Linked DNA regions of Macaca mulatta. The protein of the gene in region 5 binds, or shares a complex with, the protein of the main gene of each other region. Links are inferred from orthologs where the notes say so. Each region holds a gene or a part of one and is shown on either strand. Other genes may lie near its edges. The genes, in order: SF3A2, DDX42, SF3B4, PRPF38A, SF3B3, ZMAT2 and HTATSF1.

The links.
Region 1: SF3B3 (region 5) and SF3A2 share a complex: the UniProt entries of both Homo sapiens proteins name them as parts of the 17S U2 SnRNP complex. The link is inferred for Macaca mulatta from reciprocal best matches to the Homo sapiens genes SF3B3 and SF3A2.
Region 2: the proteins of SF3B3 (region 5) and DDX42 are in contact, whole or in part, in a cryo-EM structure (PDB 7EVN), measured with the Homo sapiens proteins. The link is inferred for Macaca mulatta from reciprocal best matches to the Homo sapiens genes SF3B3 and DDX42. Residues at the interface, in NP_036558.3 of Homo sapiens: Glu159, Ala160, His161, Tyr211, His219, Val220, Val221, Arg222, Lys223; in NP_031398.2 of Homo sapiens: Lys145, Gly146, Ile147, Arg148, Asp149, Asp150.
Region 3: SF3B3 (region 5) and SF3B4 share a complex: the UniProt entries of both Homo sapiens proteins name them as parts of the SF3B subcomplex of the 17S U2 SnRNP complex. The link is inferred for Macaca mulatta from reciprocal best matches to the Homo sapiens genes SF3B3 and SF3B4.
Region 4: SF3B3 (region 5) and PRPF38A share a complex: the UniProt entries of both Homo sapiens proteins name them as parts of the spliceosome B complex. The link is inferred for Macaca mulatta from reciprocal best matches to the Homo sapiens genes SF3B3 and PRPF38A.
Region 6: SF3B3 (region 5) and ZMAT2 share a complex: the UniProt entries of both Homo sapiens proteins name them as parts of the spliceosome B complex. The link is inferred for Macaca mulatta from reciprocal best matches to the Homo sapiens genes SF3B3 and ZMAT2.
Region 7: SF3B3 (region 5) and HTATSF1 share a complex: the UniProt entries of both Homo sapiens proteins name them as parts of the 17S U2 SnRNP complex. The link is inferred for Macaca mulatta from reciprocal best matches to the Homo sapiens genes SF3B3 and HTATSF1.

Annotation. Positions count from the first base shown.
Region 1 is NC_133424.1:2,982,558-2,986,878, forward strand, and holds the start of SF3A2 (splicing factor 3A subunit 2), read left to right. Parts: upstream 1-1,479; 5' UTR 1,480-2,147; exon of another isoform or gene 2,148-3,395; intron 3,396-4,243; exon of another isoform or gene 4,244-4,321. Other genes in the region: PLEKHJ1 (pleckstrin homology domain-containing family J member 1), read right to left, coding at 380-446, 542-609, 774-867. UniProt on the Homo sapiens protein: Component of the 17S U2 SnRNP complex of the spliceosome, a large ribonucleoprotein complex that removes introns from transcribed pre-mRNAs.
Region 2 is NC_133421.1:73,566,608-73,570,946, forward strand, and holds the start of DDX42 (ATP-dependent RNA helicase DDX42), read left to right. Parts: upstream 1-1,518; 5' UTR 1,519-1,600; intron 1,601-2,321; exon of another isoform or gene 2,322-2,392; intron 2,393-4,142; exon of another isoform or gene 4,143-4,252; intron 4,253-4,339. UniProt on the Homo sapiens protein: ATP-dependent RNA helicase that binds to partially double-stranded RNAs (dsRNAs) in order to unwind RNA secondary structures. Unwinding is promoted in the presence of single-strand binding proteins.
Region 3 is NC_133406.1:117,227,057-117,231,379, reverse strand, and holds the start of SF3B4 (splicing factor 3B subunit 4), read right to left. Parts: upstream 2,813-4,323; 5' UTR 2,761-2,812; coding exon 2,727-2,760; intron 2,295-2,726; coding exon 2,166-2,294; intron 1,928-2,165; coding exon 1,385-1,927; intron 1,056-1,384; coding exon 849-1,055; intron 1-848. Other genes in the region: MTMR11 (myotubularin-related protein 11), read right to left, coding at 4,140-4,323. UniProt on the Homo sapiens protein: Component of the 17S U2 SnRNP complex of the spliceosome, a large ribonucleoprotein complex that removes introns from transcribed pre-mRNAs.
Region 4 is NC_133406.1:188,247,180-188,251,215, forward strand, and holds the start of PRPF38A (pre-mRNA-splicing factor 38A), read right to left. Parts: upstream 2,904-4,036; 5' UTR 2,892-2,903; coding exon 2,762-2,891; intron 2,382-2,761; exon of another isoform or gene 2,356-2,381; coding exon of another isoform or gene 2,328-2,355; intron 1,959-2,327; coding exon 1,799-1,958; intron 1-1,798. UniProt on the Homo sapiens protein: Involved in pre-mRNA splicing as a component of the spliceosome.
Region 5 is NC_133425.1:69,283,269-69,286,875, reverse strand, and holds part of SF3B3 (splicing factor 3B subunit 3), read left to right. Parts: intron 1-449; coding exon 450-624; intron 625-1,669; coding exon 1,670-1,875; intron 1,876-1,972; coding exon 1,973-2,129; intron 2,130-3,607. UniProt on the Homo sapiens protein: Component of the 17S U2 SnRNP complex of the spliceosome, a large ribonucleoprotein complex that removes introns from transcribed pre-mRNAs.
Region 6 is NC_133411.1:149,549,351-149,551,723, forward strand, and holds the end of ZMAT2 (zinc finger matrin-type protein 2), read left to right. Parts: intron 1-734; coding exon 735-878; 3' UTR 879-1,781; downstream 1,782-2,373. UniProt on the Homo sapiens protein: Involved in pre-mRNA splicing as a component of the spliceosome.
Region 7 is NC_133426.1:142,822,096-142,826,309, forward strand, and holds the start of HTATSF1 (17S U2 SnRNP complex component HTATSF1), read left to right. Parts: upstream 1-1,336; 5' UTR 1,337-1,536; intron 1,537-1,720; 5' UTR 1,721-1,781; coding exon 1,782-1,967; intron 1,968-3,693; coding exon 3,694-3,874; intron 3,875-4,214. UniProt on the Homo sapiens protein: Component of the 17S U2 SnRNP complex of the spliceosome, a large ribonucleoprotein complex that removes introns from transcribed pre-mRNAs.

The DNA.
Region 1 (4,321 bases), on a different chromosome or scaffold from region 5:
TTAAGACCCAGGAGAACACCCCCCTCTCACTCCCCCTACCCCCACCTAATGCTAGACCCATGCTAGTTGTGGCAGTTGGGAAACGCTTTGGGTGGGGCTGGCCCAGCCTCTCTGTGAGTACAGCCTGGGCCCACAGGGAAGAAAGAGCAGAATCTGGAAGGAACCCAAGCTTAAGTGGACTTGGCAGGTGGGCGGGATGGTGCCCGCCAGGAGAACCTGACCTTGAGCTGCCCGTGGACAATGCATTCTTATGTCTGGGGAGGGTGGCGCCAGGCTGGGGACACAGAGGAGGCCTTGAGCGCCTGGGGAGGGGACAGTTGCAGCGTTGCTGGTGCCCCGGGCTGCGGGAGGCGCCGCTGGCTTCCCTAGCCCCACTCACTGATGGAGAAGGCGCCGGGCTCTTCCCGGATGACTCTGCACCGCTCCAGAAGCAGGGCTCCGACGGGCTGGAGGAGACACGGGCGCCGGGACGGAGCGGTGAGCACCCGGCCTCCGCGGGGCCCCAGCCTGGGATCCGCCCGCGCGCCCTCGACGCCCCTACCTCGGCCTCGTCTGTCCGGAAGTAGAAGAGGAAATTCACCACCAGCTTCACCAGCCGCCGCTTCAGCACTGCGGGCACAGCGCGCGCTCAGAGGCGCAGGCAGCCCCCGCCCGGACCCCGGCCTCCCGCACCCGGCGCCCCGACCCGGAATCCGGCCTCCGGCACCCGCGCCCGGACCGCGGCCCCAGCCTCCCGCCCCTGGCACTGTCCCGGTCTCCCGGGTCCCGCTCACCGCTGCCCTTCTTGGGGCCCCTCATGCCCAGCTCGGCCGCCATCTCGGCCGGCTGCCGGGACAGCGCCTGCAGCTCCTTCTCGTTGTACCGCATGGCTTCGCGGGGAACGGGAACCTGGACCGCGCCCTCCCGGCCGCCGTCCCCGTTCACGCCGGGGCCGGCGCCAAAAAGGTCTCAGGGCGCAGACACGGAAGCACCGCCGGGGCTAGTGCGCCTGCGCACTTTGGGCCGGCCATGCCGCCAGTCTCCAGTGCGTGGCGCTGGCGACCTGGGGCGGGGGGGGCGGGGGGGGACGGTGCACGAGTTGGTAGCGGAGACGGACAGTCGTTACATAACCATTAAATTGAAATAAACCAGACAAAGGTGGAACAGCATCAAGGCACCCCCGCGATGGCTGGCACCCCTTCCTAGAGCGGCCAGGCGCAGGCGGAGGGAGCGATAACGTCTCCCGAAGAATGTCAGCCGCCCCTCGCGAAAGTTAGCCCAGCGCGGCCGCAGCGGACCAAGGGTTCGTTGGGGGCGTTGTGCGCACGCGCGGTTTGCCTTCCAGGCCGGGCGTTCAGCCCCGCCCCCTCCAGCCCTTTCCCTCGCGCCTCCTGACTCTCTGACTTGCGCCGCTGGGCGGGCCGGGCATGCGCACACCAGAGGGCCCGCCCCATTTGCCCCGGAAGTGCTTTCTTTGACCGCGACGCGCGTGCGCCGAACGAAGTCGTGGCGGTGGCGGATCGAGGAGATAACGCGGCCTCAGGCTCTGGTGAGGAGTGGAGCCGGTTGAGGGTGGCGGCCGACTCGGACCGGGGGTTCCCTGGGGAAGAGCGGACGTAGGAGAGAGGAGCTTGCGACAGGCCGCAGGCCGAGGGGCGGGCGGCGGCGTCGCTCCCCTCCCTCCTCCCGTGAGCGTCCGGCCTTGTGCATCCTGTAGATCCCGCGCTGGGCGGGCCCGGAGGGTCGGGCCCGCTCGGAACTCTATTTCCAAACTCCTGTTGGGAGGCCGCGCGCGGGGGCTCACGCCTGTAATCTCACCGCTCAGGGAGGGCTTGGCGGGAGGATCGCTTGAGGCCAGGAGTTCGAGACCAGGCTGGACAACACAGCGAGACCCCATCTCTACAAAAAAATTTTTAAAATTAGCCAGGAGTTGGTTGTTGTACCTGTAGCCCCAGCTACTCGAGAGGATCGCTTGATCCCGGAATGTCGAGGCTGCAGTGAGCCATGATCGCAATTGCACTCCAGCCTGGGCAACAGAGCAAGACCCTGTTTCACAAAATGAAAAAGAAACAACTAAGACTCTTTGGGATCAGATCGGGATCGCGGCTGAAATGGTTTGGGCCTCCTTCCTTGTAGCCGAGAACGCTTCTGCATGCTAATCTATACCTGTGAGTTCACTGGGGCTCTGTGATATAACTCTTGTAAGCCTCATTCCCCTTAAAACGGGAGTGACAGCTTCAACACCATGCCAAAGGGGACCAGAAAACGTTAGCTGGCCCCATTTTGCAGGTGCACATGGCTGTGACCGTTGTTCGTGTGTATCCTTGGAGAACACCAAACAGCCAGGGGGAGCTTTGGAAAAGAGGTTGTTTGCTGGGTTTAACGAGAGAACGGTGTTGCCACCAAAAACTAATTCCTTCCCGCTGGTCCAGCCCCAGGTCTCGGAGGCCACCTTTCCTCAATTCTTAAGCTCATTTCCCCTGGTCGTCGTCGTCGGTTTTTTGTCTCTCTGTTTGTATGTTTTGAGACAGTGTCTTGCTCTGTCACCCAGGCTGGAGTGAGTGCAGTGGTGCCATCACAGCTTACTGCAGCCTCGAACTCCCATGCTCAAGCCGTCCTCCTGCCTCAACCTCCCAAGTCGCTGGGACCACAGGTGCTCACCACCATGCCCGGCTAATTTTTGTATTTTTTGTAGAGACGGAGTTTGGCCATGTTGCCCAGGCTGGTCTCGAACTCTTGACCTCAGGTGATCCACCCCCCCCACCCCCCCACAGCCTCCCAAAGTGGTAGGATTACAGGCATTAGCCACTACACCCGGCTCTTTTTTCTATTTTTTTGTAGAGATAGGGTTTTTCCACTCTGTTCCCTGATCTTTACCTTAGTAAATAACATACTTCTTCCTGGATTTATCAATTTGTAGACATCATCTGCTGATTTCCTGTCACGGCTGTTGAGATTTTCTCCCTCCTATCCACCTACTGCACCTTCGCCTTCCATATCCTGAATGAGTTTCTGTCGTGAGCACAGTTGGTCATTGGTTGTATTTTTTAAATAAGATGCAAAATGTTGTTGGCTGCTCAGGGCCGGGCGCAGTGGCTCACGCCTATAATCCCAGCACTTTGGGAGGCCAAGGCAGGTGGATCACGAGGTCAGGAGATTGAGACCACCCTGGCTAACATGGTGAAACCCCGTCTCTACTAAAAATACAAAAATTCAGCCAGGTGTGGTGGCGGGCACCTGTAGTCCCAGCTACTCGGGAGGCTGAGGCAGGAGAATGGCGTGAACCCGGGAGGCGGAGCTTGCAGTGAGCTGAGATCACGCCACTGCACTCCAGCTTGGGAGACACAGCGAGATTCCATCTCAAAAAAATATATGTATATGGCTGGGCGCGGTGGCTCACGCCTGTAATCCCAGCACTTTGGGAGGCCGAGGCGGGCGGATCACAAGGTCAGGAGATCGAGACCACGGTGAAACCCCGTCTCTACTAAAAATACAAAAAATTAGCTGGGCGCAGTTGTGGGCGCCTGTAGTCCCAGCTACTCGGGAGGCTGAGGCAGGAGAATGGCGTGAACCCGGGAGGCGGAGCTTGCAGTGAGCCGAGATCGCGCCACTGCACTCCAGCCTGGGCGACAGAGCGAGACTCCGTCTCAAAAAAAAAAAAAAAAAAAATGTATATATGTGTATATATATATACACACACACACATATACACATGTATATGTATATATATTTAGTTGGCTGCTAAAACAAGTAATGTGTTCAACTGGGCTTTTGTTGTAGCTTTCTATTTTCCCTTAAAGCTAATTAACTTTGTTTTTACCATTAGCCTTTCTTTTCCCTACTGTTTGTTTATTTCCCCACAAAGCTCCAGCATCTCACACCTATCAGTTGTGTTTTGCACAGGTTTAAATGAATTGATCTCCACCTCCCCACTGCCCTCCAAGACCCCCGTATCCTCCTTCTCCGAATGGGACTGATTGTGCTCTGCCTGGGTGGAGCTGGTGTCCCAAACCTTCCTGTCCTTGCTGCCCTGTGCTGACCTCTGTTCCCAGTGTGGCCATCTTTTCCTCTTCCTGATGTCAGAGCAGAACTTCTGGGAGCTTTGGAAGAAATAGATGATTTTTTTCGGGGATGGGGGAAGTCTTTGATTGCCTGAAAATGAGTTTATTTACCCTCATAGTTAGAAGTTTGGTGGGGTATAAAAATCTAGATTGAAAATCCATATTTGGCCGGGCGCGGTGGCTCAAGCCTGTGATCCCAGCACTTTGGGAGGCCGAGACGGGCGGATCACAAGGTCAGGAGATCGAGACCATCCTGGCTAACACGGTGAAACCCCGTCTCT
Region 2 (4,339 bases), on a different chromosome or scaffold from region 5:
CCTTAGAAGTCTCTGCTGCACCTGTTAACTCAGTTCTCAAACGCACAAGTTCTTGCCAGGCCACCCAGCTTCTATGACTCCTGAAGCAAGCAACACAGGACCAAGGAAAATTCACACAAGCACTGACAAGTCTGGTTTGATTATTTTCTGCAAGCTCATCCAATAGTTCCTCAGCGACTGAGTCCAGACTTGAGGGAAGGGGACTGAGTGAGGCCATTATTCCTTGTTGTCATTTTAGATTAGGTCTTTCTGACAACGGCCAGAACGAGTATTCTGGAAATCATGCAGACTTTCCTCTGTCTCCTTATACGTGTTGGATACAAACACGTTTCATGCTAGAAACCTCCAGAGGAGACTGGCCACAGAGGTTTTTGCTTCTATTAAACCCCCTCGCCTAGTTTCTCCCCACCCAAGAGAATCAATACATCCTAATGGCATCCTGCGGCACACACTGTACATTTCCTCTAACTCTGCCCTTCTGGCTATCATTTGCTCACAGTCCATGGGAAAGTTCCCCTAAACCATTACAATTATCTCAACCGGACCGGGCTACAGGCCAAGCAACTCGGAGTCACCGCTCGGCCTGGGCCGGCCCCGCCGACAAGCGCGTCCTGGCCCGCTCCTTACCTGTGGCCAAGGCCGAAACCCGGCCCAGCGCCCTACGTCCGCCACCCCTGCTCCGCCTGCCTCTCGGCCTGGCCGCAGCCTCCGCGATCGCAGCTGTTTTACTACCCTGGATGCCTCTAGGACACAGCCAGAACCGTAGCTCAGGCACGCCGCGCCTCTCTTCACGTAGCCTCCGCCGTCCGTTACGTAGAATGCGAGCGGCTCGTCAGCGCCTGCGCGCAGTGTGCAGTGTGCAGTGTGCGGGGCGGGACGCAACACTAGGGACAGCGCAAGACCTCCCTCTTCCCCGCCCAGCTGAGGCGAGGTGGGGCTTCTGGGAAAATTACATAATCCCCGCCCCTGGGCCGGAACTGCTCTCGCCTATACCAATCCTCCTCCGTAGGGTTCCGTCAAGTTGACGTCACACGGAACCGGTGCTCCGGAAGCTAAAGGTAGTGATGCTGTGCGGAACCACGTGGCCAAAGGCAAGAGTGTCGCTGTAGTAGTATTTGCAACGGACCAGAGTTTAAATGATAGGCATGTTCATGTAAATGTGGTTTCTGCCCAACCCATTTTCTCTTGGGATTTTTTGACCAGCCTCCTGACGCCACTTTTTCTTCATTCCCAGACCCACTTTCTAGACGGGTCATGAACTCTGTCCACCCAACTAGCAGTTTCCTGTCAGAGTATCTGAGGAGCCTGGGAGGCGTTCTGGAGCTTTTAGGTCAGGCGCCTTCCGGGAGTCGTAGCCCCGGCCCCGCCCTTCGGCCCGCGCACTCCTCACTGCGCATGTCGGGTTTTTGTTACCCTCCCCCCTTCAGCAACGGGCCGTGAGGCGGTGGCGGTGGCGGTGGCGGTGGCGGTGGTGGCGGCGGCGAAGGGGGCGGAGAGGAAGGAGCGCGGCGGGACCGGGCTGGGACAGCGCGTACTTTGGGCCGCGGGATTCTCTCCGTGCCGGCGGTGGTAGCAGCTGCGGCTGCAGCCATAGCAGCAGGTTTGTTCGTGGGGGTTTTGGACGCAGGGCCGCTAGTCCTTAGGGGCACTGGAGGCAACTGCTGGGCCTAGCGAGGGCGGAGGAACCGCGGCCTTGCTTAACAAAGAGTCGGCAGAGCCTCGGGGCACCCGCGGCCGGGGTGCTGGGAAGGGGTGGGAGTGCGGGCAGAGGCCTCGAGGGTTCCTTCCTAGCCGCGTCGCCCTCCCACAGCTCCCGCTTCCCTCGCAAGTCTTACCGAGGCCCAGTTGGCGGCTTTCCGGAGGCGGCGCCCGCTCGCCTAGGAAAGGGATTTGCAGGGTGCCCGGCTCCGAGGCAGGGATAGCGCGGGGAGAATTCTGGCCCAAGGAGGCAGCGCTTGGGAGATGCAGGCTTCCGAATTTGGGGTCCTGATAGGCAAAAGCTGCCAAATGAGAGGAGTGAAAAGATGTAAGCGGTGATCTTTGTGCAGCCTTGAGTAGGTCGATTATTAGCATCACTTTGTCACCCAAACTTTTTTGCGGCCTACTTGAAAGCCTATCTGATGTGAATAAATAATTTATGTGGAGTTACAAACATATGCATCAAAAACATAGGAGAAGCTCTCGAGAGTTTTGGGGAATTATATTCTCATCACTGAGAATTTCCCTGTTGCCTACACTCCTATAGGCAGTTATCCAATTTCCTGTATATTCTTTTTGTGAATGATGTTTCTATGTCTGTCCTCCCTCATATACACACCCAGGACTTCCTAAAAGGCAGGGACTATGTCTTAAGTCACTTTGCAGAGCCTGGCTCAGTTCTGGCGTATAGGAGGTGAGCAGTGAGTGTTTTGTACAAAAATTAACATTTAGACTTTGACAGCTGGGAAAAGAAAATGTGTCTTTCTGTACCTGGAAGAGGCATTTACACAATGCCTAATGTACAATTCATTCATTGAAGGGATATTTTTATTGGTGCCTATTCTCTAGCGCCGTTCTAGGTGATAGGGATAGGTGTTAGACCCCTGCCTTTGTGAAACTTAACTTTCTAGTAGCGCAAGGAGAGGCAAAGAAATACATAAATTATACTGAATGTTAGAAGATGATCAGTACCTTAGGAAAAAGAAAGCTGGAAAGGGGGTTGGGGAGGTGTTGTTAGAATTTGCAATAAAGTGGTCAGGGAAGTCCCTACAGACAAGCTTATGTTTAAGCGGACTGGAAGGAGGAGTGAGCCTATGTTTATCTGGGGAAAGGAACGTTCCAAGCTAGAGAGTAACAAATATAAAGGCCTTGAGAAGGACAAAGCTGGCCCGTTAAGAGTGCGAAGACCAATGCGTTTGGAGCACTGTGAGCTGAGGGAGTATTAGGAGATAGTCTGGGAAGAATTGGGGGAAGGGAGTGAGCGGAACAACCAGAGCCTTTTAGGCTATTACTTAAGAAGGATCTGAGGGTTTCGATCAGAGGAATGATAATATCTGATTTATATTGTAGCAATTTAATAAAAGAGAGGAGTGCAGTAATTTAAATTTGTTTTGTTACATTGATAGTCATATAATCAGCTCCCAGTTGCTTTAAGCTGACAAGAGAAGGGATGCTTCTAAAATAACCAAAACCTAGCATTTACTTATATTTAGTTTAGAAGAATGTGATTACGTTCTTGAGTTTTTATATAGATTCTCATTAAAGAACTGACCTCTATATAGTGTGTGAGATACTCTCAAGGTATTATGTAGAGTAGATGCTAATCACTGTCACTAGAACTCTTTCTTCCACCTCCAGAAATGCAAGTGATAATGTGGTTTATATAATCAGTTGTTTTTAGTCCACTATATTTAAAGTCATTTAGATCATATCTTATTTTCCACCATTGCCAAAAACACAAACTAGCTAAATTGTCTTCCTTTATAAGCGTGTTCCGCATTTATTCTCACTTCCTAGCCTTCACTAGTTCAGTCTTTCTCCCTAGAATGTCATCCTCTGCATGTCTCTACCCAGCTTGCATCTTTCTGTGCCTAGCCTGGCTTCTGGCTCTTTTATGACGCTTACCCCTGCCTGTTAGCTCATAGTGATCTCTGACATCTTCAGTGTTTTTGTGGCGCTTATGTGTGAAATACCTGAGTTGAAAGAAGTCTGATAGTCTCAATTTACCGATGAAGAAATTGGGTCTTCAGAAATAATAATATAATGAAAAACAAGTTGGCAGCTGACGTATTGAACAAGTACATTTTTGTGTATGAACTTAATTTTTCACACCAACCCTTGAGATAGGTGATAGTCTCATCTTTTTTTTTTTTTTTTTTTTTTTTTAAGATGGTGTTTGGCTATGTTGCTCAGGCTGGTGTCAGACTCCTGGGCTCAAGTAATCCACCTGCCTCAGCCTCCCAAAGTACTGGGATTACAGGCGTGAGCCACCATACACAGCCTCTCACCATTTTATAGATGAGGAAACTGAACCCAGAGAAGCTAAATAACTTCCCTGAGGTTCATATCAAGTTAGTAGCAAAGATGGTTTACACACAGCCTGTGCTACTTTACTATTCCGTTAAGATTTCCTATGAAACCACCACGTTTTATTTATGTTTTAGAGACAGTGTCTTGCTGTGTTGCCCAGGTTGGAGTGCAGTGGTCCAGTCAGCTCACTGTAACCTGGAACTCCTGGGTTCAAGCAATCCTCTTGCCTCAGCCTCCTGAGCAGGTAGGACTACAGGCGTGTGCCACCATGCCTGGCTAACTTTTATAATTTTTTTGTAAAGGCACGGTTTTGCTGTGTTGCCCAAGCTGG
Region 3 (4,323 bases), on a different chromosome or scaffold from region 5:
GAAGTTAGGGAAAACTGGAGTCCAAGTGGAAGGAGATTACTACAATAAATTAAGTGTTAAATAATGAGGGAATGAGAGACTGAACTAGGGCACTGGCCATGGGGAGAGATGCCACTGATATTAAATAAGACTTGGTATTAAGAGTGGGGTGATAGGGAGCAGTCAAACATCACTCTCAGATTCATGAATTAAGCACCTGAAAAAAAAGACTGCTAGAGAAAGAATGGGTTTGAAGGAGAGGGACAGAAAAATGACGCTATCTATTAAGCAGCAGCATTAAAGCATTAAGGATCCGGAATGTCAACAGCTATGGACTAGAGATACAGATCTAGGAGGCATCAGTATATGCTCAATTAAAACTATAGATATATGCAGAAAAGAGAAACAAGCACAAAAATCTAGGCACAAGTAGACAAGAGTCTATCATGGTAGCTGAGATTAAGGAGTCAGAGGGGTGGAGGATCTAGAAAAGCAAAAGCAAAAAGAGACGAGAATTTCAAACAGGAGGACACGACTAGTTTCAAGTACATCAGAGGTCAAACTAGATAAGGAGGAGAAGTGTCCCTGAGATTTGGCAATTAGGTCACCACTTTGAGCTGGAGTCAGAGAAGAGAATGGAACTAAAGGTTAAAGAAATAAAAACCAGCAAGTATAGTCTTCTTGTCAGAAAAACTTAAGAAATGGATACAGGGAGGTGGATGTTAGAGAGTATTTTGTATGTTTTTATAATAGAATGTCTGAAGGAAAGGAAACTCTGAAACTGTTACTGTTGAGGAACAAAGGGCAGCAGGGTGAGAGGTAACAGAGATGCTCTACCAAGCTCTTCCCTCCCAACAAAGCACACCTACCTGGATGGGGCATCCCACCTGGTGGGAATGGGTGAGGATGTGAGTGTCCATGACCAGGATGTCCTGCCCCTGGGGTTCCTGCCGATGGGGGGCCATGTCCTGCAGCTCCAGGAGGCATAGGTGGTGGGGGCATGGCTGGGGGTATCCCAGGTGGGAGGGCTCCAGGAGGTGGCACTGGGGGTGGGAAGGAGCCAGGAGGAGGCATGCCTATAGAGGAAATGGAAAAAGGAAAAGTTAATGGTAGTGAGGAGAAAATGTCTTTAAAGAGCCTGTCCTGATCTGGCCTCTCTGGGCAGGGTGAGCTCTTTCCCCCTCCTCCCAGTGCTCTAAAATCAAAAGCAATGTTAGAAAAGTCAACCAACTTCACCCTCCTAAAGAAACCCAACAACTTTCTTCTCCACCACTACCATCACCCCTCAGTCCTCTTCCCATCACTCACTGACTCCATGTCCCATCCCCCTTTCAGGCTCTTTTTTTCTTCCTCCTGACTCTCTCCCCCAACCTTAAGACAAACAAATTTTAACCAAAAGCTTTACCTGGTGGAGGAAGCCCAGACCCCAATGATGATACCACAGGATTGGGGGCAGAGGGTGGAGGAGGTGCATCTGCAAACAGCTGATGAGGGCGGTCAGCCTGGGAGAGCGGGTTCTGAGCTGCCAGAAGTCGTTCGGCTGCTGAGCCATGGCGCTCACCCTTGGAGTCCTTCTTGAAGGCATAAGATACGGTGATAGGGCGGTTACAGAGGTACTGCCCATTCATGGCTTCAATTGCTGCATCCGAAGCATCAAATGAAGCAAAATTAATAAAGGCATAACCTTTGGAGTTGCCTGTGTCAGGGTCCCGCATAATCTTGGGGGTTTGTAAGATGACCCCAAAAGCGCTGAAAGTATCATAAAGCAACTTCTCATCAATCTCAGGGTCCAGGTTCCCAATGAAAATGTTGGCCCCTACATCCAGGTTTTTGTTGTGGGCTGATGCTTTGTTCACCCGTATTGGCTTCCCATAGAGTTTGATCATGTTCATGATCTTAATGGCATAGTCAGCATCTTCCTCACTCAAGAATTCCACAAAGCCATAGCCTGGAGAAGTGGAGAAGAGGAGGTTAACAACATAAGAGATTGAAAATGGGGTAAAACTCATCTACCCTCTAATCACAAAGAACAAGAAAGAAACAATCTCACTTAAGAATGGTTCCAGAAATAAACTGAACAGAGGCTTAAAAGAAAGAAATACTTTAGGTTGCTCATGTTATTCCAAAACAGTTGTGAATACTGCCGGGACCCTCCGGAAGCAAATTGCCCCTTGTCATGTACTCACCTTGGTGCTGGCCAGTGACTCTATCCTTTGGCATGTGGGTGTTGACTACTGGTCCAGCCTGGAGAAACAGTTCCCACAGCAGTGGTTCACTAACCTTCTCATCCAGGCCCCCCACGTACACAGTGGCATCTGAAGGGAGGGAGCAGAAAGTTAGAGCAAGGGTGAGAGTATAACATGAAAGAAGGAGGTGATGGAAACATGAAGATGGAACCCAACCGGGGGAACTGGGGACGCGGGTAGGGGACAGGAGCAAAAAAAAAAAGTTAAACCCTTAAACTTCTCTCTCCAGGACTTCAGGAATCCTCTGAAGTCTAATTTAGTATTCTGAGTGGATTTTTTTGTTTTTTTGAGTGAGAACTCAGCAGGGGATTGGACGTAAGTATCACACCCACAGGCCTCAGCCAGCACCTGGCCACCCCGCCCCCAGGAGGCACGGGGCCGGTCTCGCGCCCTCTGGGGAATGGATGAGTCCAGTCTCCCACCCCTGCAGAGGCACTTCTGGCTGTAGTAGGGGCCTCCTAGCCACGCTGAGCCCATTCCAGACTTTCCCCCTCCAGTTACCCTGGTTCCGCTCGGAGATCGGCCCGGCAGCCATGGCGAAAGAGCTCCCGCCGTCTCCCAGCAGCGGTTCCGCCTTCTGACCTCAGCACGACTTCCACTTCCGGGGCGAAGGAGGACGTAGCGCTGGGCGGAGCCGCGGAAGAGGAGGGGCCTGGAAGCGGCTGCAGCCATTTTAGGAGCCTCCAAGACTTAACTCGGGTTGGGCGGTGGAGTCCTCGGCACCCGCGCAGAGGTGCTGCTGCTAGTGGTCTTAGCGAGGAGGGCGGAACGGAAACGCTCAGACCGTCTTAATGCACTGCTAGACTTGAAAGAATCACACTGCTCCCAAAAATGTAAATTCGAAAGCTAAAAGAACAAAAACTTCAGTTTTCATGTATTTTGTAGCCAGTGATGATGTTTTGTTGTCCAGAGAAGGATGTGCTGAAGAGTCCCCCCAACCCGAGGACTTGGCTGCTTTCAGGCGCAGAGGGAACCCTCCATCTCGCCTGCAACCTTCTTGCAGATTTGGCCTCAACAGCCCTGATTTGGGCTGGAGGTATTTGGTTTTCCCTCGGGGAGGAGACTGCGAAATGTCTGAGCTGGAGTGACGTCTGCGCTCATCTCGTCGTAATTGCATGGGGAGGGTGAGGGCTGCTCCAAGGTGGTGTGTGACCACAGGTGAGGGGTGGATAGGATCGGAGCTCAGAGACTTCAGTCTGGATCTCTAGAACAATCTGGCCCCATCTGCCTCTAAATGGGAGACACACACAGAATCCTTTCCCCAAACTGCACTTGAATTCTGCAGAGTCTCACCAAATCCAGTTCCCCTATTTCCTTAGCAATAATACAGTAGATGCCTTCCTCTCTTGGATCATACCCACCTTTTACCCACCACTTTCCTACCTAGGAGAATCCTTTATTCAAACACAAGAAACAATGCCAGTAATGTGTATAAATACTATGCTTTAATGAGCCCCTTAAATAGAAAATTCCGCTACAAAAATACAGAGGAGACAGGGTGTTTCCTGTATCCGCCTCATTCCCATAGAAAACTATAAGGGAAGAAATAGAAGTTGGAATTAAAGCAGCAGCAAGGCGAGGTGAGAATGCGATCTGTAGGCCATCTTGTTGGGACTGATGAACAGCATCTCTGATCTCACGATTTAACATCTGGTTATCCAGAAGGGATGGAACTGGTCTAAAAAAACCGATCAATTTCTGGATTGTTTTTGTTTCTTAATCCTTCAAATGACAAGAAACAAAAATATCCGTAGGAACTAAGCAAGACAGGACAAGAGTTGGAGCAGTTAACACCACCATCTGCAGCAGAAACTCAGACCTTCTTAGTGAACTTAAGGGCTGGAGTGTGAAAGCTGAGGCTGCAAGTCCAGAAACAAAAAAAAAAAAAAAAAAAGGATTAGACAGAACCGTCCTCTACCCCAGATCCCCCTCTGCCCTGCCTTTGAGAATGCCCACAATTTCAGTGGGATTGAGAATGGTATGTGGATCTCTTTTCTTGGAGTGAACTTCAGGAGATATTCTTGGTGTCCATTTCCGTAATAGCTCCTGAAGATGGGATAGCTCATCCTGGAGGCCAGAGATTGTAGGAGCTGAGAGG
Region 4 (4,036 bases), on a different chromosome or scaffold from region 5:
TTTATTTATTTCTCAAGACAAGAGTATTGCTCTGTTGCCCAGGCTGGAGTGCAGTGGCACAATCTCAACTCACTACAACCTCCACCTCCTGGGTTCAAGCATTCTCCTCCCTCAGCCTCCCGAGTAGGTGGGATTACAGGTGTGTGTCACCGCACCCAGCCTAATTTTGGTATCTTTAGTAGGGATGGGTTTTGCCATGTTGGCCAGGCTAGTCTCAAACTCCTGACCTCAAGTGATCCACCTGCCTTGGCCTCCCAAAGTGCTGGGATTACAGGTGTGAGCCACGCCTGGCCAGATACTGAATTTTAAAACAGAAAGTAGAAGATATATTTAATAACAATACAAGAACAAGTACACATAAACATGACTGCTGGTTTTGGAAAAAAATAAGTCATCTGGGTTCAAATTCTGACTCCATGATTTACTAATTCTGTGACACTACTGGTCAAATCTGTGTTTTCTCAATCCTTGTAAAATGGAGATAATGCTACTTAATTTATGGCTTGGTATATAAACAAGAAATGCATTTAAAGTCCTAAGTACAGCATAGAGCACACAGTAAGTGCCTAACAAAAGTTAGGTATTTTCTAGCTATTAATGCTTTATAAGAGTCGTCCCTCTTCCCTTTTTCCTGTATCCAACTACTTAAATTTCCTCTTGGGTAACTACGAGGCATTTGAAACTCACAGTTTCTTTGTATGAGAAGCAGAATACTGTACCAAAGAACATGAACTCTGAAGCCAGATTTGCCACTTACTAGCTGTTTGAACTTGGGCAAAATTACTTAATCTCTGTGCCTCAGTTTCCTCTCCTGTAGAATAGGGATTAAAAGTTTAGAAGGTTGTTGTGAAAGTGAAATGAATTAGTATACGCAAAGCCCTTAGAGCATGGCACATAAGAAGCTATTATGTCTGTCTCCTATACTTGTCTGTGATTTCCTTGAGAATGGGTAATACAGTAATGAGAAGCTGACATTTTCTAGGTGTTTACCGTGCAGCAAATGCTGTGTTCAGAGATCCGCATGCATTACCTTCTTTCACTCTTACATTATAGTCACCATTTTACAGATAAGCAAAGTTTAGAAAATTAAGTAACCCCTCCAATGTCAAGTTAATGGGCAACAGAATCTGGATGTGAACCCAGATCTAACACCTCTTAACCACTACCTTTTGTTGTTTGATTTTCACCCCTGAGCGTCCAGTGCCTACCAACATATCAGGCACTCACTTTTGCTTAATATATATTTAGTGAATTTGTGAAATCCTTTTTTGGGGAAAAACTACCACCAAAACTGAGAAAGTAAAGTAGAAGATTAATACAATCAGAACAGATAAAATACAAACTTGGCCGGGTGTGGTGGCTCATGCCTGTGTTCCTGGCGCTCTGGGAGGCCCAGAGGGGAGGGGATCACCTGAGGTCTGGAGTTCAAGACCAGCCTGGCCAACATGGTGAAACCCCATCTCTACTAAAAATACAAAATCTAGCCAGGCGTGGTGGCACATGCCTGTAATCCCAGCTACTCGGGAGACTGGGGCAGGAGAATCACTTGAACCCAGGAAATGGAGGTTGCAGTGAGCCGAGACTGCACCACTGCACTCCAGCCTGGGCAACACAGACAGACTCTGTTTCCAAAACGAAAAACAAACAAACAAAATACAAACTCAAGGACTCAAAAGCAAAAATCTGGAGTGGAACTCTGTAGAAATGAGATACATTGTGTACACCACTCTTAACCAAAGCCCAATGCTGAACCGCCAAAATTAAACCTCTTATATTAGCTAGTGAACATTGCACTCACTTGAAATCTTCATTTTTGATAAACTCTACAATGATATCCTTCTCGGGTTGAATCTGAAGCATCTTCAAGGTTAAACACAGAAAGGGTGTTGGTTTTATGTTGCCACCATAGACGCCACCCACAAACCTTAACTCCATGGCTTTATCGACTACAAGTTCAGCTAAAAAACAAAAAGAATAGAGTGACATATTAGGGCTAAGCTCTTCCTAGTTGAAAGTGGAGAGTTAGTTCAAGCTTTGGTTCTCCTAAATACACATCAACAGTGTAATATTAGGAGAACGAATGTGTATTAGTAACAGTAACGACAGCAGCTAATATACATTGAGAATGGATAATAAAATAGGTACCCTGCTAAACTTTTCATATTATCTCACTTGACCTTTTTTAACAAGTCATGAAGAAAGTTCTAGCAATGTTCTTATTTCCAGATAAGGAAAATGAGGGCTAAGAAAGGTAAAGTGACTTGTTCAAGGTTCACAGATTGCCACAGGACATGGATTTAAAGCCAGAATTCAAATCGGAAGATTACCTGGAAGACTTCTCTGAAGCACTGACATTTATAAATACTGGAACTGGCCCAGATCTAAGGATAGTAAGATCATGAATTTGGTTTCAGGCATATTAACGTCAGGTCCTTAAAGACCTTCAATAGATTGTGTCAAAGTGTTATATTCGGACCCCTGAGCTTAACACTGTTGCAACCCAGCCAGCTATCATTAAATATGGGATAACTCACAGAACCCAACTGAGACACCCTTCAGAACATGACCTTATCAGATTCATCTGTGTTCCCAATAGTCGACACAAGACGAGGCACTTAGTATGCACTCAAATTTTTCTGAATGATCGACATACTCCGCTCAAAACCCCACCCCCAGAGGCCAGTCGCTAGTCCCACCGGAGCTCGGTCAGGAGAAATTGGCCACAAGGCTGCCGAGAGGGGCTCTGCGTGCTTTCGCTCACCCGTAAGTCCGAAGCACTCCTCTTTCCAGTACTTGGACTCATAGATTCGCGTTCGAATGATCTTCTCCACCAGATATTGAGGGTTGGTGCCGTGGATACTGTGCGCATCCTTCACTGTACGGTTAGCCATTTTAGAATGCCTTCAATTCTATTTCCGTCGGATCCTTTAATGCGTCACATCCAGGTTCAGAAAAAAACACCTAGGGGAATGGAGAGCGGTAGAAGTTGTTTCACTAAAAGGCTTAGGCCACCATCTTGAAACCGGAAACACCTCAGCGCAAAGACCTTCCGCGCACCGCGGCGCCGATCGAATCAATGATGGCGGCTGCATGTTAGCGGATTTACGTCAGGCGCCCCTCTTAGGTGTACGTAGTGGGCGGGGCGAGCTAGTTGGTGACGCAGCGAAGGGATGGCCTGGGGGCGGGGCCCCGCCGATTGGCGCGAAGTTTTCTTTGCTCCTTCCACCTTCCTTCCATTTCCAGCGAGACACACGCTTTCGTCCTGGCGTGCGGCCCGTAGCTGTAGGAGGAGCCCTGCTGGTACAGGTTAGAGGTGCTGCATCCCCCGGAGCTCTCGAAGCGGAGGCGGTAGGAAACGGAGGGCTTGCGGCTAGCCGGAGGAAGCTTTGGAGCCCGGTGAGTGTGGCGTCCCGCGGGTTGCGAGGGACTCGGGGGAAGGCGCAGCGGAACATCTGAAACTGAGGACGTTCTCTGTAGACTCACTCATTGATTCTTTCAGCTGACATGTACCCAGCGCCTGTTCAGTGCCAGGCACTGTTCTGAACTGTTAAAGAGCGTTCCTCTGTTCCACACTGCAATTCCTAAAAGCGCTGCAGGGAACTGAGTTGCAGTGGGGAAGGCGGAAGCCAACAGCCGAGAAGCAGGAGCACTCCTGCCCTCCATACCCTGAGGCTCAGTGATGACTTTCCCTCCATCTGCACTTGTGAAGCACTCGACTTACTTCGTTCTTTGAGCTATAGTGTAGGAATCACTACAGGGAAGGCGGAGCAGAGATTATTACCCCATTTTACGGACGTAGCAAATTGCGCCCAGAGAGGGACGTGTCTTAGGTCGCTTTTCGTGACTAAGCAGTCTGGGCTCCTACCCAGATCTTTTTTTCAGATGAGCTCCTAACTGCTGGACTGCCATTCACCTTGTTTTCAGAAGAGAAGTCTGCTGGCTCTCTTCTTCTCTTGTCTAATCCCGGAACTGAAGGGTCTTCTGCCGTGACAGTTGGAAGCAGCATTCTTACCCTGGTCTATTTGTGAAACTGCAA
Region 5 (3,607 bases):
CCCCTATTTGCTGTCTCTTGCATTATCAAAGTTTTCCAAAACTGAGGTGATTTTTATTCACAAAGGCATCCACTTCATTTTATGAAGCACAGTCACTACAGATACCATATATGTTCAGGTAATTGCAGTGTTCACAACAAATTTGGGATTGGGCGCTTTATTATCATTAGAGTGATTAAAAAAAAATCTTGACAATCGTTTGTGTTTCATTGGTGAGAACTAGAATTGCCATGAATTGTGGTAGGGTGTTGCCAAATGGGAAGGCCCTTCCCGGATCTCTCTGTCTGCAGTGCAGTTTTCTAGATTAGGAGGCTGTTGTTTAATGTTGCCTAATGCCAGCGTTAGAGCTTCAGGGATTGATGTGTTTACTGACTGCTCAAAGCCTATTTCACCACCAATTTCTAGGTCCTGAGTGAGTATTAAGTAACTGCCTTGCTTTTCTGTCATAGCATTTTGGCATTAGAGAAGCTCGGTGCTGTCTTCAATCAAGTAGCCTTCCCACTGCAGTACACACCCAGGAAATTTGTCATCCACCCTGAGAGTAACAACCTTATTATCATTGAAACGGACCACAATGCCTACACTGAGGCCACAAAAGCTCAGAGAAAGCAGCAGATGGCAGAGGTAATGAGACTAACGTTCAGGGGTTCTGTTAAAAGATTTGTGAAATTATGTTGAAAAGTTTAAACTGCTCAGCACTTTTGGAGGCTGAGATGGGAGGATTGCTAGTTTGAGACCGGCCTGGGCAACATAGCAAAACCGCACCTCTATTAAAAATTTTGAAAGATAGCCTGGTGTGTTGGTGCACTCCTGGTATGTTGGCACACTCCACTGCATACCAGTGGCACTCTGGACATGAGACTCTGTCAAAAGTTTAAACTCCTGTAATTGTTGTTATATTCTTTGTTTTTTAAAGATCTAGGCTCTTTTCAGCTTCTTTAAGCAGAGGCCTTTGCCCCAAAATACTTCATGTTAGAGCCTTTCTTGTAACCCAGGACTATACTCTGACCTCCATTTATTCACAATTAAGTTCCCTCTCTGAAACAGAATTCTCCAGTCTTTGAGCTTCCAAAATAGACTGTATTTCCTGGATTTGGGCCCAAAGGAGACAGCTTTCATGTTCTCCACAATACCAGCTCTTTCTAGAACTCATTGCCTAGCAAAAACCAAATAGCTAAACCACATAGAACTGTATCCAGCCTTAAAGAGTGGAGACAGAGTAGTCTTAGTAGGGGAAATCAGATGGGTTGGATTAAAAAATGGAGTTTCTGGCCGGGCGCGGTGGCTCAAGCCTGTAATCCCAGCACTTTGGGAGGCCGAGATGGGCGGATCACGAGGTCAAGAGATCGAGACCATCCTGGCTAACACGGGTGAAAACCCATCTCTACTAAAAAATACAAAAAAAAACCTATCTGGGTGAGGTGGCGGGCACCTGTAGTCCCAGCTACACGGGAGGCTGAGGCAGGAGAATGGCGTGAACCCGGGAGGCGGAGCTTGCAGTGAGCTGAGATCCGGCCACTGCACTCCAGCCTGGGCAACAGAGCGAGACTCCTTCTCAAAAAAAAAAAAAAAGAAAAAACCCCTTGGAGTGTTCTTGCTACCTATCCTCTTCTCAGCCAGCCCCTACCTCTGAACATGCCAACTCAGTTGTTTGGTTTTTTGGGTTTAGGAAATGGTGGAAGCAGCAGGGGAGGATGAGCGGGAGCTGGCCGCAGAGATGGCAGCAGCATTCCTCAATGAAAACCTCCCTGAATCTATCTTTGGAGCTCCCAAGGCTGGCAATGGGCAGTGGGCCTCTGTGATCCGAGTGATGAATCCCATTCAGGGGAACACACTGGACCTTGTCCAGCTGGAACAGAATGAGGCAGCTTTTAGGTAAGGAGCCCAGGACAGTTCAGGGTTTGGTAGCCTGGAACAGGAGCTCTCTGGGTTTTGACGAAGGCCTTACTCTTGCCTCTTACTCTGTGTGTAGTGTGGCTGTGTGCAGGTTCTCCAACACTGGTGAAGACTGGTATGTGCTGGTGGGTGTGGCCAAGGACCTGATACTGAACCCCCGATCTGTGGCAGGGGGCTTCGTCTATACTTACAAGCTTGTGAACAATGGGGAAAAACTGGAGTTTTTGCACAAGGTAGGAATCAGCCAGTGAGTGGTTCTCCTAGATCTTAAGTCCTATTGAATTCTCTTACTTTTGCTTATGTTATGGGTCAGGTCTTTTGGGGACCAGCTCCTTGATTCCAATCCGTCTCTTACCAGCACATGGAAAATCCTGGGGCCTTCTAGCTGCGGTGATGCTCTTGTGCCTGTGCATTCCACAGTAAGGCTTTGTGCTAACCACCCATAATGGGGAGATGGATGCACATTGAATCAGTCCCTTTCTTACTGTTTTAATAAGTGGGCAACAATTTGTGACCAAAATTCAGCAGTTTAAATAATTAATATTCTGGCTGTGTGCGGTGGCTCACACCTGTAATCCCAGCACTTTGGGACCAGCCCGACCAACATGATGAAAGCCCGTCTCTACTAAAAATATAAAAATCAGCCAGGCATGGTGGCATGTACCTGTTATCCCATCTACTTGGGAGGCTGAGGCAGGAGAATCACTTGAACCCGGGAGGCGGAGGTTGCAGTGAGCTGAGATTGTACCATTGCACTCTAGCCTGGTTGGCACAGTGAGACTGTCAAAAAGAAAAAAAAAAAGATTTAGTGTTCTTTTCCATCTGCCTTCTCTGGGAAGTTACTGTTTAATGGGTACAGAGTTTCAGTTTGGGAAGATGAAAAAAAAGCTGGAGATGATAGTTACACAACAGTAAATGTGCTTAATGCCACTGAAGTGTATACTTAAAAATGACTGGGCATGGTGACTCATTCCTGTAATCCCAGCACTTTGGAAGGCCGAGGTGGGCGGATCACCTGAGGTCAGGGGTTCAAGACCAGTCTGGTCAATGTGGTGAAATCCCATCTCTATTAAAAATAAAAAATCAGCCAGGCATGGTGGTGGGCGCCTGTAACCCCAGCTACTCCAGAGGTTAAGGCAGGAGAATTGCTTGAACCTGGGAGGCAGAGGTTGTACTGTGCTGAGATTGTGCCACTGCACTCCAGCCTGGGCGACAGAGTGAGACTCTGTCTCAAAAAAAAAAGGATTAAGATGGTAAACTTTATGTTATGTCTGTTTTACCATAATTATTAAAATAAAAATAATATTCTCCTCCACACTGACAGCATGTGGATTCCTTCAACCCTACCATAAGGGGAGTATCCTCTAAGAAATACTTCATAGACCCTTTTGCGTATAAAATTTGCCTCTCCTTTACAACTGAGATGTCACTAGGCTGGGTGCAGTGGCTCACGCTTGTAATCCCAGCATTTTGGGAGTCTGAGTCGAGCAGATCACTTGAGCCCAAGAGTGAGACCAGCCTGGACAATGTGGTGAAACTCAGTTTCTACAGAAAATACAGATAATTAGTTGGGCGTGATGGCACATGCCTGTAGTCCCAGCTACTCGGGAGGCTGAGGTGGGAGGATCACCTGAGCCCAGGAAGTCCAGGCTATAGTGAGCCGTGATTACGCCTGCCACAGCCCTCCAGCTTGAGCGACAGTGAGATCCCG
Region 6 (2,373 bases), on a different chromosome or scaffold from region 5:
CAGGCTGACTGGGTCAGAATTCTGTTTCTTCCACTTACTGGCTGTGAATCTTGGGCAAGTTATATAACCTCTTTGTGCCTCAGTATCCCCATATTAGAGATCTTAGTATAATATGCATGAAGTACTCAGAGCAATTTCTGGCATGTACTGCATGCCCCAGAATGTCAGTTGCTATTATATGGTTTTGCTGTCATAACCCTGTCAGGAACTAGAAATGACATGGGGCCAGACGCAGTGGCTCACGCGTGTAATCCCAACACTTTGGGAGGCCAAGGTGGATGGATCACTTGAGACCAGGAGTTCAAGACCAGCCCCAGCAACATGGTGGGACCCTGTCTCTACAAATACAAAAATTAGCTGGGTGCAGTGGCACACGCCTATAGTCCCAGCTACTTGGGAGGCTGAGGTGGGAGGATTGCTTGAACCCAGGAGGTGGAGGTTGCGATGAGCCGAGATTGTGCCACTGCACTCCAGCCTAGGCGACAGAACAAGACTCTCTCAAAAAAAAAAAAAAAAAATGAACTAGAGTGCAGGCTTGAGAACTTCTCTCTAGAGGCTAAAACTTCTTTTTGTTATCCTTTATAATTTTTACTCTGGCTTTTACTCTGTCCTTGAGATTTTACTTGTCTTAAGTACTTTCTCCTAAAGATAGAAAGGAGTCTTGAAACTCATGTCTTTTTCAGTAACATTTGGCTGAGGAGTCTAAACTGATTCTGAGTGATTTTTCCCTCCAGGAAGAAAAGGCCAAAGCATACAAGAAAGAGAAACAGAAGGAGAAGAAAAGGAGGGCTGAGGAGGACTTGACATTTGAGGAGGACGATGAGATGGCAGCTGTGATGGGCTTCTCTGGCTTTGGTTCCACCAAGAAGAGTTACTGAGGCTTTCTATGCTTGGCCTAACTTGGGCCTATGCTGGACCTAACTTTGTGTGTGTGTGTGTGTAGTCGGGGGTCATTTCTTTTTGGGTGATGGGAAAGTTCTTAAGAGTGTCAATGGGGAGGGATAGAGGGTGGGGCTCATGGTTTCCCTCTACTTTGGGAGAGGGCACAGATTGCAGAGGTAATGCTGTGGCATATTGCTTCAGCCTCAGTATATCGCTGGAGTCATAGGACCCCTGCCCACCTGAGTTTCCAATAAAGAAAAACCTCCCCTTCTGAGGCTGCTTTCCCAAAACTCCCCCTGCATCTTTATCTCTCCATCTATCCAGCCTCTTGTCTGAGCATCCCAACTTTATCCTGTGTTATGCCTTTGTTTTAATTTTATCTCATGTTCAGCCTGCAACAGAAGCATTCTCTAGGTCCCAGTTTCCAGTTGATTGCATATCCTTGACCAGCCCTTTTTCCCATCCCGCCCTATGGTTCTCTAGCTACCTGTGCATGCATGTGTATTTCTGCCTGGTTCTATGGTGTGTGGATGTGTGTGCATGAATCTGTCACATAGAGGGGGCCTGAGCTGGAATCCTAGAGCATTGCTGCCCTGGGGCCTGATGTTCTTGGCTTCCTCAGAGCATGTAACAGGAAATTAAATGGGATGAGTGTTTGGTGTGGTTTGTGTCTGATGAGTTTTTTAACATTCAGGTGTAGATTGTTTCAGGTTCTCTTGTTTCATTTTCCTGAGGATTTCTGTTTTTGTCTTCCTTGTGAGCAGGCTTTTGGAAGAACCTGTTTGATGCAAAGAAGAAAATGAAAAACAAAACAAAACAAAAAATCCCCAAAACCTTATTATGGGAGCCCTTGGGTCTTAGAAGCTGTTCAACATGTATAATAAATGGCATTGACTGGGCCTGTTTTACATTTGGTGGGAACATTCCATAATTTTGCCTGTGAATATTTGTTTTTCCTTCTCATGCTGAGGATTTCCATAGAGTGTTTTATTCTTCCATTTTAAATCTTATTTTTGCCTAGGATTTTTTTTTTTTTTTTTTTAGCATGAGTTATGTTTTCCTCTGGTAAGGGATCTGTGTCCAGAGGAGCCTGAACCAAAACTATTCCTATCATTTCAGACTCCTTTGATCTTTTGTTTTTGGAACAGTAGAGCTCAGGATTGAACTTAGTGTTTTTCTTTTTCTTTTTCTTTTTTTTTTTTTTTTTTTGAGAGAGTCTTGCTCTATCGCCCAGTCTGGAGTGCAGTGGCGCGGTCTTGGCTCACTGCAACCTCCGCCTCTTGGCTTCAAGCGGCTAATTTTGTATTTTTAGTTGAGATGGGGTTTCACCATGTTGGCTAGGCTGGTCTAGAACTCCTTGCTCAGGTGATCCACCTGCCTCAGCCTCCCAAAGTGCTGGGATTATAGGCGTGAGCCATTGCACCCTGCCCTTAGTGTGTTTCTTACTGTCTGCTAGACACAGGATTACTTAATCTTGGCACTGTTGATATT
Region 7 (4,214 bases), on a different chromosome or scaffold from region 5:
AAACTATTAAAAACTATTGTTATCGTTGAAACCATAGATTCACACAGCTGGTACGTGGGGAGCCAGGATTTTCTAGAAGTAGTACTCAACTGCTATGTTTAGAAGTGAAGGTCACTGGAATAGTGAAATAATTTCTTCTGGGAAGGTTTTCCCCACCCTCAAGCCTGGGTTGTGATATTTATGGTTACACTAATGAGTTCCTTATTATTTTAAATGAATTAATATTTTTTAACGGCCGCTTTAATTTTTGTGCAGAAATATTGGTAAGTATAATCCACAAACGTTTTTTGGGGTCTTCAATGTTTTCGTGTAAAGAGGACCTGGGACCAAAAAGTTTGAGAACTGCTGTCCTCCAGCATCTCGTATCTGTCATTTGCCAACCATCCTAATTCTGTCTCCCCTGAGCTGTGCCTGTCTTGTCGACTCCTGGGTCGCCAGAGCCTCGTGCAGAACCCTGCACTTAGTAGGGGCTGGATAAATACCTGCCCAACTTAAAAATATGGACCTTTACATTTTCAGCAATGAGTGTAATTCCTGAAAACAAAGTTCTGTTTAGAACAAAAGTATGCTGTGTCTTTCTAAAACAATGACAAAGAAGCGGAGTTTGCCGGCCAGTAAAGCTGGTGTTTACACTGGGATGTTTACATTTATGTCTAAGTTTCAAGTTCGCAGCTCGAGCGCCACTGAATCCTGCAGTACAAGAGGCAGGCAACTGCAGCCCCTCCCATCCTTCCCATGGAGTCAAACTCCAGCCAGAGGAAGGTATGAGACCGATAAAGGAGAAGGCTGACACCAGAAAAAAAAAAAGTTGGCCCTTTTACCCCTCATTCGTTCATTCATTCGCTCATTCCGCATTAGACACCAGAGCCGGTGCCAGGAGCTTAGGTCACCAAGAAGAACAATATCCGGTGTCCATCCCAGGGAGTCGGAAAGAAACAAGTAAAAGACACGGTTCCTGCGCGGGGGAGGGGCCTTTGGGCGAAGGAGGCGCGTCGTTTTCTCGAAGCCAGAGATATTTGTCCTGCCCGCCCCACCCACTCCCCCAAGATGGCGTCCTCGCGACACCCGCCCGGCCACCTCCGCGAGGGAATATTCCCACGCCTTCCTTCCGTCTCCCTCCCGGGCCGGCCGATTCGCCGGGAACCCCGCGGACCTCAAGGCCCTTGAGGCGTCAGGGGATCCCAGTGGCCCTCGCCCCGCCCCAAGGCCGAACCCGGTGGGCGTCGACGCCCGGCAGTAGCGCTCCCCCCTCTCCGGCGCCCCGCCTCCCCGGGTCTCGCGCCGCGTGCCGGCGTCGGCGCCTTTTGACGCCACAGTGGGCGTGTCGGCGCGACCCGCGACGTCGCGACGCGCCGACAATGGCGGCTGCGTCGGCCTGAGCAGGGCTTAGTTTACAAGTAATATCCTGACGTTGCCGAGGGAGCCGCAGTCGCCTTAGACCCGGTCGGCGGCGGCGGCGGCGGCGGCGGCGCGCCTGCGCGCTCCCGCAGCGCCCTGGACCTAGCGGCGGTGCCGAGGCCCAGCGGAGCAAGCCAGGTGGGCGGCGGCGCGGCCGAGCTCCCAGCATCAGCGCGCGCGCGCGGTGGGCGGGCAGAGCAGGGGGCGGTGCGGCAGCCGAGCGGCCCCGATTTCCCGGGGACTGCTGGGGCGCCGCGGGGAGGCGGGCCGGGGGGCGGCGGGGCGCGAGCAGAGCGCGATTGACCTCCCTTTTTCTGCTCAGCTCCAGCGTCATTTCGGCCTCTTAGTTCTTCTGAACCCTTCTCCTGAGCTGAGTAGGAAACATGAGCGGCAGCAACTTGGATGGGAACGATGAGTTTGATGAGCAGTTGCGAATGCAAGAATTGTACGGAGACGGCAAGGATGGTGACACCCAGACCGATGCCGGCGGAGAAACCGATTCTCTCGGGCAGCAGCCGACGGACACCCCCTACGAGTGGGACCTGGACAAGAAGGCTTGGTTCCCCAAGGTAGGAGAGTGCCACGGGCGCCACTGCAGAGCGGGTCGCCTGGCCAGCCTCGCGGAGCACTCCTCTTACGTTTGCTTTGCTGAGATCCTTGGTCCTTGGTCCTAGCCCCCTTGGATAGCGGCGCTTCTTTTTGTTGTGTTTGTCGGGGCACCGATGTGTGAAGGAACGTAAATCTTTAGGGTGGTGTCTTAAATGTAATTTTTAAGTTTTTTCTATGCTTTATTAATCTTGTCTGTGAAGGTCACAGTTGGTAATTACATTGATGACTGCTTTTTATTGCGAAGAGGAAAAACACCAAGAGCAAATTTAGTAGCTGTCCATTTCTGGTAGCCGACCCCACTTGTCCTAGGAACTCAGATGTTTAGCTTATGTACTATGTGCAAAATGCAGTTTCTTGGTTTTTTTAAAGTAGCTGTTTACATATCTTTACTAATTGAACTTTCTTTGCACCTTGCTTTACTTTCCTAGCAAATTTTGTCCCTAAGCATATATGTTTGAACCATATAACCACAGGAATAAGACTGGAGACGCACAGAATACAGATGGAAAATATCTGTGTATATTTGTTTGGAGTACTTGGAAATTGCTAAGTATTTTTATTTCAGCTTCGAAGTAAAATAAGTAATGTTAAACTTGGTTCTGTAAACTTTGTGGTAAAAGTGCCCTTTTAATCTGGCTCTCATGAGCAGGAAAGGGCACACTAGTAGCACGCAAATTGACTTGCAAGCCAATAATACAAAACCTGTCTCCATTGCGCGACTGGACGGCTGTTTTAAAAATTCTTTTGCAACTTTTCTTTCCCATTCTGTATTTGTATACATATTCCAATGCCTCCAGATTGTTAAAATTTACGATTTCACTTCTGTATTGGTAGTACTAGTTTTGAGTGCAGATTTGGTTTCTTCAGCATTCTGAATACTTTTAACAAAGGTGTGATAATGGATTAATGTGTGACTTTATCTTTTTATGTTATTGAAGCCCATACCTCTTCAAACTTTGGGTTTTACATTTTCCCCATTCCATGCGTGCCTAATGTTGATTGGTATGATGGTATAACTATATTTCTTTAGTTTTGCAATAACGCTTTTCCCCCAAAGGGGAGGAAGATAGATATGAGTTGGATTTGTCTTTAATTTGTTCTGTTACTAAAAGATAACGTCTTAATTTGTGATAAAGTTAAAATGAGCATTTAGTTTTACAGTTGTTAACTCCATTCTTTATATACCAAGTCAGAGTTCTGTTCTACGTGCTCTCTGCATACAGATATTTAAGTACTTATTGTACACGTATATTTGTGCATGTGTACAGTAAGAGAAAAGTGGATTCTGTGGTTAGATTATTCATTGACTGTTGGTTTTTATTGTTTTATTATCTGGTACTTCCTTTGTTGTATGTATTTGTAGCCTTAGTTAAGTAGACTGTAGAGAGGTAGTAATTTATAAATGAAACAACTAGAAAAGGTGCCAGCATCACTTAAAATGCTTTAAATCATATCTCAGACATTTGCATTGATCGTCTAAGTACTCGTGTCTTATTTTTTATCACCGCATGCACAATTTTCTGTATAAGATGACTATTGCATTTATACTCTAATAACTACAACTATTATCCACAGAAACACTTCTGTTTTAAGTTGTGTAACCATGCTGTAAAAACAATTTAAACTTCTTATGGGTGGAAATAATTTTGAATTTCTCTGTCTGGGTCTGCTGAATTGCTTGTTTAGATCACTGAAGATTTCATTGCTACATATCAGGCCAATTATGGCTTCTCTAATGATGGCGCATCTAGTTCTACCGCAAATGTTGAAGATGTCCATGCTAGAACTGCAGAGGAACCTCCACAAGAAAAAGCCTCAGAACCCACTGATCCCAGAAAGAAGGGAGAAAAAAGAAAGGCTGAGTCAGGTAAGTGGTTCTGGCTTACAAATTTTAAGTGTAAAAATTAAAAATATGGGTGTGCATATGTACAGTTGCTTTTCCGAGAATTATAATAGCTTTGAAGGAATAAGGTGAGTTTTTTCTTAAAGGTAGTGTCAGAGTTATAAAGAATCAAGATAAACTGGCCATCATTTTTCCCAGATAGGGCTCTAAAACTAATTATTTGTCCAAAGATTTAAATCCTTTGAAAGCTGGGTAGTGATTTGAGTTAGTTTATCTTGGTCTTTTAAGAGTAAGAGAAAGGTCCTGGAAGTTTCAAGAAACTGCTGCTTTGTCAAGATTCCATAATATGACTCTTATCTTTTCT